2 linked regions of the Caenorhabditis elegans genome follow. The protein of the gene in region 1 binds, or shares a complex with, the protein of each later gene. Each region holds a gene or a part of one and is shown on either strand. Other genes may lie near its edges. A codon is read from its position in the direction of its gene.

What was found. The genes of interacting proteins can lie anywhere in the genome.
Region 2: the proteins of hsp-90 (region 1) and unc-45 are in contact, whole or in part, in a crystal structure (PDB 4I2Z), measured with the Caenorhabditis elegans proteins. Residues at the interface, in NP_506626.1 of Caenorhabditis elegans: Ser696 (codon at 3,936), Arg697 (codon at 3,939), Met698 (codon at 3,942), Glu699 (codon at 3,945), Glu700 (codon at 3,948), Val701 (codon at 3,951), Asp702 (codon at 3,954); in NP_497205.1 of Caenorhabditis elegans: Arg12 (codon at 1,608), Asn16 (codon at 1,620), Val19 (codon at 1,629), Tyr31 (codon at 1,716), Val48 (codon at 1,767), Arg51 (codon at 1,776), Asn52 (codon at 1,779), Met55 (codon at 1,788), Lys59 (codon at 1,800), Val81 (codon at 1,912), Lys82 (codon at 1,915), Phe85 (codon at 1,924), Arg86 (codon at 1,927), Asn113 (codon at 2,008), Asp114 (codon at 2,011), Ile117 (codon at 3,599).

The regions. Positions count from the first base shown.
Region 1 is NC_003283.11:14,684,467-14,689,090, forward strand, and holds hsp-90 (Heat shock protein 90), read left to right. Parts: upstream 1-1,693; 5' UTR 1,694-1,697; coding exon 1,698-1,847; intron 1,848-1,894; coding exon 1,895-2,599; intron 2,600-2,647; coding exon 2,648-3,633; intron 3,634-3,691; coding exon 3,692-3,959; 3' UTR 3,960-4,073; downstream 4,074-4,624. Other genes in the region: C47E8.4 (Protein FAM50 homolog), read right to left, coding at 1-50, 148-218, 268-339, 574-673, 727-856, 903-1,011; C47E8.11 (uncharacterized protein), read left to right, coding at 4,171-4,245, 4,293-4,454. UniProt on the Caenorhabditis elegans protein: Molecular chaperone that promotes the maturation, structural maintenance and proper regulation of specific target proteins involved for instance in cell cycle control and signal transduction. Undergoes a functional cycle that is linked to its ATPase activity.
Region 2 is NC_003281.10:489,975-494,550, forward strand, and holds the start of unc-45 (UNC-45/Cro1/She4 central domain-containing protein), read left to right. Parts: upstream 1-1,572; 5' UTR 1,573-1,574; coding exon 1,575-1,663; intron 1,664-1,714; coding exon 1,715-1,842; intron 1,843-1,888; coding exon 1,889-2,015; intron 2,016-2,432; exon of another isoform or gene 2,433-2,861; intron 2,862-3,594; coding exon 3,595-3,673; intron 3,674-3,742; coding exon 3,743-3,871; intron 3,872-4,380; coding exon 4,381-4,576.

The DNA.
Region 1 (4,624 bases):
TCTCGGCATCTTGCTTCACACGCCACTCGGCTGCCAATGATTCTTTCTTTCTGAAACCAGACTTATTATTTTTTATTTATTTGTTCACCGGGATGATCTACACCCGCCAAAATTTGAAATGTCGTTGTTTTTTCTTCTAGAACTCACTTTCTCAAGAACTCCTCTCGTTCTTTATCAGGCAGGAAGCTTGTGTCGACAGTTGGGTCCATTCCAACGCGCTGCAAACATTTTTCGCTTTAATTTTTTCTTTTTAATTATTATTCTTACCTTTTTCGGGATAATTGGTGCAGCATCTTCTTCGTCCTCTTCGTCATCAAATGCAAACGATAAAAATCGCTTCTGAAATTAGCAATATTAAAACAGTTTTTCTCGAATGTTCTACAAAAATGTTTTATATCTGCGTTTCCTCACACTCTCACCTGCCCTCAATTTTTCTTTCTCGAAAGTTCTCAAATTTTTAGAAATCTGGTATAAAAGACTCTTTCGACGAGAAATCTCTAGTCAATTGAACTACAACTGCTACCCGAGTCTAGAGCCTACAACCAAATTTCTACAGCAATCCTTCACATTTACCTGGGTATGTTTTGCAACGTGTTCTTCTTTTTCTCGAGCTTCTTGTGAATCTTTAGATTGAGTAGAAGATGATTGGTCTCCCCGGGCCACTTGTAGATCTCTATAAGGTACACATTTTTATTGTGAGGCTCTCCAAAATGTAGAAAATCGAACCTGTTTGAAATTTCGTTTTTCTGAATATTTTTCATATCATCCAATGATACCAAGCCATAGGTTTTAGACTTCACGACTTCTTCGACTGTTTCATAGTTTGCCATGAATTTATTCGTAATTCCGACCCTGCCTGCAAAATTTGTAGTTTTAATAATTAAAAAGGGGTTTCACCATACATTTTTCTTTGTCTTCTTCAAGCTTTCGCAATTGTTGTTCGATATCTTCCTTTTCACGCTCACGTTTCTTTGCCAAATGAATCAAGCGGCCTTCGTCGGCGCGGGACATTTTATTAACTGCAAAAATAAAATAAAAACCAATGAAAGCAATATTTTTCAACGAGTTCAATATTGAGAGTGACATATAGTTTATTTCGGGATTTTATTTAATATAGAATAATAATTTTAGATTTTTTTTTGGTGCAAAAATACCAAAAAAACGTCTTTTCGACGAAGTAATCTGAAAAAAATGAAGAAAAAACAATTCAAACTAAAAACAAGAAAATGTTTGTGGCCTAGTTACCTATTCTGCAAAACTTCGGCCAGGTGCTGAAAACGCGCTCTATTGACAATTTTCGTCGAGAATTTTCCGCCGAAAAGGGCAATTTGAAAACCAACCAATCAAATTGAAAGGCCACGCCCTCCTTCGAGAACATTTCGCATCTTGTTCAAAATTTAGACCTTCAATTACGCCTCAGAGCTCTGATATTCCCAGTTCTTTCGGTTTTCGGGTGAAGATTTTTGGTTTTCCTCTCACTAATATGGCTTTTATGTTAATCACGGATCATTGTTTTTGATTTTTAAAGGTTTTTGAACAATAGTTTTAGGCCTAAAATTAGTTCATTTCTAGATAAGGTTATAATGTGTTTTTAGTTTCGAAATCATTCGCCATGCGTGCTCTTTCATTCATTGAATCGTTATAAAGTTCTATTCAGTTTTTGTTGCTCGATTGTTAATTGATATTTTTCCAGAACCATGTCCGAGAACGCCGAAACCTTCGCATTCCAGGCTGAGATTGCTCAGTTGATGAGCTTGATCATCAACACTTTCTACAGTAACAAGGAAATCTACTTGCGTGAATTGATCTCAAACGCCTCCGATGCTCTTGACAAGATTCGCTACCAGGTTTGTTTTTTCGCTTCTGAGTCAATTTTTTAAAATATCGGTTTTAGGCACTCACCGAGCCATCCGAGCTTGACACTGGAAAGGAATTGTTCATCAAAATTACTCCAAACAAGGAGGAAAAGACCCTTACCATTATGGATACCGGAATCGGAATGACCAAGGCCGATCTTGTCAACAACCTTGGAACCATTGCCAAGTCTGGAACCAAGGCCTTCATGGAGGCTCTTCAAGCTGGAGCTGATATTTCCATGATTGGTCAGTTCGGAGTCGGATTCTACTCTGCTTTCCTTGTCGCCGATAAGGTTGTCGTCACATCCAAGAACAACGATGATGACAGCTATCAATGGGAGTCTTCCGCAGGAGGTTCTTTCGTCGTTCGTCCATTCAATGACCCAGAGGTCACCCGTGGAACGAAGATTGTCATGCACATCAAGGAGGATCAGATTGACTTCCTCGAGGAGCGCAAGATCAAGGAGATCGTTAAGAAGCATTCTCAGTTCATCGGATACCCAATCAAGCTTGTGGTTGAGAAGGAGCGTGAGAAGGAGGTTGAAGATGAGGAGGCTGTCGAGGCTAAGGATGAGGAGAAGAAGGAGGGAGAGGTCGAGAACGTCGCTGACGACGCTGACAAGAAGAAGACCAAGAAAATCAAGGAGAAGTACTTCGAAGACGAAGAGCTTAACAAGACCAAGCCAATCTGGACCAGAAACCCAGACGATATCTCCAACGAAGAATATGCTGAGTTCTACAAGGTATTTTTAGTTTTAATTATTTTATGGCAATAATTCCATTAATTTCAGAGCTTGTCCAATGACTGGGAAGATCATCTTGCCGTCAAGCATTTCTCCGTTGAGGGACAACTTGAATTCCGTGCTCTTCTCTTCGTCCCACAAAGAGCTCCATTTGATCTCTTCGAGAACAAGAAGAGCAAGAACTCCATCAAGCTCTACGTTCGTCGTGTCTTCATCATGGAGAACTGCGAAGAGCTCATGCCAGAATACCTTAACTTCATCAAGGGAGTCGTCGATTCTGAGGATCTTCCACTTAACATCTCTCGTGAAATGCTCCAGCAATCCAAGATCTTGAAGGTCATCCGTAAGAATCTTGTCAAGAAGTGCATGGAGCTTATCGACGAGGTTGCCGAGGACAAAGACAACTTCAAGAAGTTCTACGAGCAATTCGGAAAGAATCTCAAGCTCGGAATCCACGAGGACTCTACTAACCGCAAGAAGCTTTCCGATTTCCTTCGCTACTCTACCTCCGCTGGAGATGAGCCAACTTCCCTCAAGGAATACGTTTCCCGCATGAAGGAGAACCAAACTCAAATCTACTACATCACCGGAGAGTCCAAGGATGTTGTTGCTGCTTCAGCTTTCGTCGAGCGTGTTAAGAGCCGCGGATTCGAAGTCCTCTACATGTGCGACCCAATTGATGAGTACTGCGTCCAACAACTCAAGGAGTATGATGGAAAGAAGCTTGTCTCCGTCACCAAGGAAGGACTCGAGCTCCCAGAAACCGAGGAGGAGAAGAAGAAGTTCGAAGAGGACAAGGTTGCCTACGAAAACCTTTGCAAGGTCATCAAGGACATTTTGGAGAAGAAGGTTGAGAAGGTTGGAGTTTCTAACCGTCTTGTCTCTTCCCCATGCTGCATTGTCACTTCCGAGTACGGATGGTCCGCTAACATGGAGCGCATCATGAAAGCTCAAGCTCTTCGTGATTCCTCTACTATGGGATACATGGCCGCCAAGAAGCATCTCGAAATCAACCCAGACCACGCTATCATGAAGTAAGTTACCCAAAAACTATTTTAAAATGAACATTCACAAACGTTTTTGCTATTTCAGGACACTTCGTGATCGTGTCGAGGTCGATAAGAATGACAAGACCGTTAAGGATTTGGTTGTTCTTCTTTTCGAGACTGCTCTTCTCGCTTCCGGATTCTCCCTTGAGGAGCCACAATCTCACGCTTCCCGCATCTACAGAATGATCAAGCTTGGTCTCGATATCGGAGATGACGAAATTGAAGATTCTGCTGTTCCATCATCGTGCACCGCTGAGGCCAAGATTGAGGGAGCTGAGGAGGATGCTTCCCGCATGGAGGAGGTCGACTAAACATCCTATTTAATTTATCATTTGTTACGAGAAGATCTCCCCAAAAGCCCCTCCACAGTTTTATTCATTGTTTTCCTGTCTATCGAACCCAAATAAAGTTCCGTAATTAATTTCATCAATGTTTTTTTTTGCAAACGTGAACTTTTGAAGAAGCACATTTGAACAGTTTAGATACTCGAGGGAAATTAAACAGTTTTAGTTTATACGAAACATGATTGCAATCTTATTCGAGTTGGCATGTTTCCTGATCTTGGCCAGTGCTGTTTGCTGCATCATTCCAGAACCGGTTTATACATGAGTTGGAGATGAGTTTAATATCTTTTCATGTTTCAGGAAAAGCCATTCAATCCACCTCCACGTCCAAATTTCAATTATAACCTCTGGGATCCTGTCAATGAAGATTTCGAAGGACGCAAGTTGGATGTTCGTTGGTGGAATCCGGAAGAAGAAGATGAAGATGAAATTGTTCCAATCCCACCAAACCTTGCTGTCTAATCTCTCATTTTATTTCTAAAAATAAAAATTTTTCGATAATCGTTTTATGAACATATGCTTATTCTCTTGAAAAATCCGCTTTCCGCGCACGCAAATCTGTTGATGCGTGCTCAAATTGACATCCGTTACCATGCCAACTCTTTCCAACTGCCCTTGAGAAATTGAAAGCA
Region 2 (4,576 bases), on another chromosome or scaffold:
CCCATTTTCCACCCCAAGACAGTCTCAAGTTATAGGAAATCTTCACATGATTTGCTCACAGTGCATGCACACAAAAAGTTATAAGATCTGAAGAGAGACGCAGACAGATTATTCAAACAGCAAGGGCTCCCACCACCGGAGAGGATCTGCGGATTCCGCCGTAATTTTACACTATCCGTCGGGGGCCGGACACTACTACACTGCCCTTTCCGCTGAACAGACGTTTCTATTCGTTTTTCATCGATTTTTGCATAAAGTTCGGGTTTAGTGGGTTTAGTAAACCTAAGAATTTCTAGGTTTTTTATGAATTTTAGGTCCTTTTTTTGAATTTATATAATTTATTTTAATGTAAATACTATGAAATTTTTATTTTGATTTTTTCCGAAAAAAAAATATCAAAAATTCCAGAAATATTTCAGCCGACCCATAGCCGCCGGGTATAGCACTAGAGCCTCACGGCAGTACATATTTATTTAGAAACTCTAGTATTCCACGTGAAAAAATATATTTAAATATACCAGAAATTTTGAAGGAGTTGACGACTACAGTACTCCTTAAAGGCACACGTTTTTCTGATTTCAAGAAAATTTATCGGTTCGTGCCGTAGTTTTTGAGAAATCCGAGTGCCGTAGTTTTTGAGAAAAAATTTTCCTTGTGGTTGCCCATATAATTATTTTCATGACGAAAATCTGAAACGATGTTTTATGGGTCTGCTAAATATTTATCATACCCAACTTTGGTCTGCTAAATATTTAGCATACCCAACTTTGGTCTGCTAAATATTTAGCATACCCAACTTTGGTCTGCTAAATATTTAGCAGACCCATTTGGGATATTGAGTTTATCCTGAAATGATGATTTCCTTTGTTTAAATCCACTCAAATTCCGTTTTTTCTCTGAAATCCTCTAATCCCCTGAAAAAAACCTAAAAATATATTTTTTTTACTATATAAATTCGGATTTTTCCAGAAACCCCACATATTTTCGACTTTTCCCGAACTTTTCCCACTCGTTATCTCTATTTCTCTTCTATTCCCTAGGATATCTCTCCCGCCTGGGAGCTTTTCGAAAGCTCCAGAGCACCTGGGCGGAGCTCCCGCGGCAACTGGATTTTTTACCGTTATTCTTCATTCATTTTTCCAGGACATTAACAAATTTTCTTGCAGTGAAAATTTTTATTTCAAAAAAAAAGAAAAGAAAGTCAATTTTAGGATGTTATACATCTCCAAAATTCGTTAGTTTTAGCTTTAAAATCAAAGTTTTCATAAAAATTAAATTTGAAATCCCTCCAAAAAATAGTCTGCGCTTCACACTCTCTAACACGTGCCGGTGGAGCGCGCTTGCATTTTTCCTTTTTTGTTAATTTTTTTTTGCGGGAAACTTTTCGGGAAAATTACTCTAAAACTCAATAAAAACAGCTTTTAAGTGCATTTTTCTTGAAAATTAGTTTCAAAAATGATATTTTAATCAGTTTTACACCATTTTTGTCGATTTTTCCTCTTTTATCCGTCGAATTAATAGTATCTCCTGACAAAAATAATGATTTTATAGTTTTTTTTTTTTGGTTTTCAGCAATGGTTGCTCGAGTACAGACTGCGGAGGAGATCCGCGACGAGGGAAATGCTGCAGTTAAGGATCAGGATTATATAAAAGCTGATGAATTGTTGGTTTTTCTGAAATTTCAGTGGAAAACTGAAATTAAACTGATTTCCAGATACACTGAAGCTCTCCAACTCACCACTGACGAAGACAAGGCTCTTCGGCCGGTTTTGTACAGAAATCGAGCAATGGCTCGGCTGAAAAGAGACGATTTTGAAGGAGCACAATCGGATTGCACGAAAGGTTTACAAAAAACCTGGAAAATTTGCTGAAAAACCTAAATTTACAGCTCTGGAATTCGACGGGGCCGATGTAAAAGCTCTCTTCAGACGATCGCTGGCTCGTGAACAGCTTGGAAATGTTGGGCCAGCTTTTCAAGACGCAAAAGAGGCTCTGAGGCTCTCGCCAAATGATAAGTGCGTGGAAAAACTAGGCGAAAACCGATGAAAATTAAAAGAAAAATAATTTTTTCTGGCACTTTCCAGTTATATTTCAAAGTTTTTATGACCAAATTTCAGTGAAAAATGCAAAAGTTGCAAATTTTGGGTCTGCTAAATATTTAGCAGACCCAACCTCCCGAAACTGATTTTTAAAGCTAAAAATTATTAGAATTTTCAGACGTTTCTCTCCGAAATATAGCATGCCAATAGAAAAATTGACAAAAATCAAGGTTTTCTCATCGAAAATAGCAAAATAACTTTTAAAAATCTACAGAAACTCACAATTTTTGTTTAAAATGCCAACATTTATAAATTTTCTAAATATTTAGTTTTAAATTTGTAATTTTCTCACTTTTTTCTGTGAAAAAATATGCAAAATGAAACTGAAAAATCCACTAAAACATGTTTAAAAATTTATCTTGAAGAAAAACGTAGGAAATTTCAAATTTGCAGCTAAAAAATCAGCGAAAAAATTTTTTTTTCAAAATTTGAGGAGGTTGGGTATGCTAAATATTTAGCAGACCCAAGGAAAAATATTTAGCAGACCAAAGATAGGTATGCTAAATACTTAGCAGACCAAAGATAGGTATGCTAAATATTTAGCAGACCAAAGAAGGGTATGCTAAATATTTAGCAGACCCAAGGTGGGTATGCTAAATATTTAGCAGACCCAAGGAAAAATATTTAGCAGACCAAAGATAGGTATGCTAAATATTTAGCAGACCAAAGATGGATATGCTAAATATTTAGCAGACCAAAGATGGGTATGCTAAATAATTAGCAGACCAAAGATGGGTATGCTAAATAATTAGCAGACCCAAAGAAAAATATTTAGCAGACCAAAGTTGGGTATGCTAAATAATTAGCAGACCAAAGTTGGGTATGCTAAATATTTAGCAGACCAAAGTTGGGTATGCTAAATATTTAGCAGACCAAAGATGGGTATGCTAAATAATTAGCAGACCAAAGTTGGGTATGCTAAATATTTAGCAGACCCAAGGAAAAATATTTAGCAGACCAAAGATGGGTATGCTAAATATTTAGCAGACCCAAGGAAAAATATTTAGCAGACCAAAGATAGGTATGCTAAACATTTAGCAGACCCAAGGAAAAATATTTAGCAGACCAAAGATAGGTATGCTAAATATTTAGCAGACCAAAGATGGATATGCTAAATATTTAGCAGACCAAAGATGGGTATGCTAAATAATTAGCAGACCCAAAGAAAAATATTTAGCAGACCAAAGATAGGTATGCTAAATATTTAGCAGACCAAAGATGGATATGCTAAATATTTAGCAGACCAAAGATGGGTATGCTAAATAATTAGCAGACCAAAGTTGGGTATGCTAAATATTTAGCAGACCCAAAGAAAAATATTTAGCAGACCAAAGATAGGTATGCTAAATATTTAGCAGACCAAAGATGGGTATGCTAAATATTTAGCAGACCAAAGTTGGGTATGCTAAATATTTAGCAGACCCAAGATTTTCTCACAATTCCACTTTTAAGCACTTAAAAATTCAATAATTTCACTCAAATTTCTATTTTTCAGAGGAATTGTTGAAGTTCTTCAGCGTCTCGTAAAAGCCAACAATGATAAGATTAAGCAGACCACTTCACTGGCTAATAAGGTTGGTTTTGTGACCTGAAACCACGAATTTTAAATGAATTTTCATTGAAAAACCCCGAAATTTTCTCAGGTAACTGACATGGAAAAGCTAGCGTTCCGTGGTGAGGCGAAGGACACCGAACAGAAAATGACTGCGTTGAACAACTTGTTGGTTTTGTGCAGAGAATCTGAATCCGGAGCAACAGGAGTTTGGAATCAGGTATAGTTTTGGAAGCTGGACGAAAAATCTACATTTACTGGGAAAATTTAATGGAACTTAAAAAAAAATTTAAAAAATGGAAATAAATTGAAAAATATACCGTATATTTGAAAAAAAAATGCAAAAAAAAACTGAATTTTCTAGATTTTCAGAGCAATTTTCAGATTGTTTTTCGAAAAATTTTGCAGTTTTTATCTAAATTTTTCCGATATTCCTTAAATTTAATTGTCGAAAGTTCAATTTTAATTTTTTTAAAGAAATTTTTTTAAACTGAAAATTGTAATTTTTTGTAGATTTTTAAAATTTATTTTGCTACAACGAGAAAACCTTAATTTTTGCCAATTTTCCGATTTTGTAGAAACATTTGAAAATTCAACTTTTTAGCTTTTAAAAAATCAGTTTAAAAAAAATTATTTTTCAAAATTTTAATTTTATCAAAGTATCCCGAATTTGAATATTTTCCTGCAAAAATACCCAAAAAAAAAATTCTAATTTTTCCATATTTCCAGGGCGCACTTGTTCCATTCGTCCTGAACCTAATCAACGACGCATCGGAAAACGAGGAGGTTACCGTAACCGCAATCCGAATTCTCGACGAGACCATCAAAAATAGCGTCAGATGCATGAAATTCCTAGCTATGCACGACCCAGATGGCCCAAAATCCGTCCGTTTTGTGTGCCGGCTAATGTGCAAAAAATCCACAA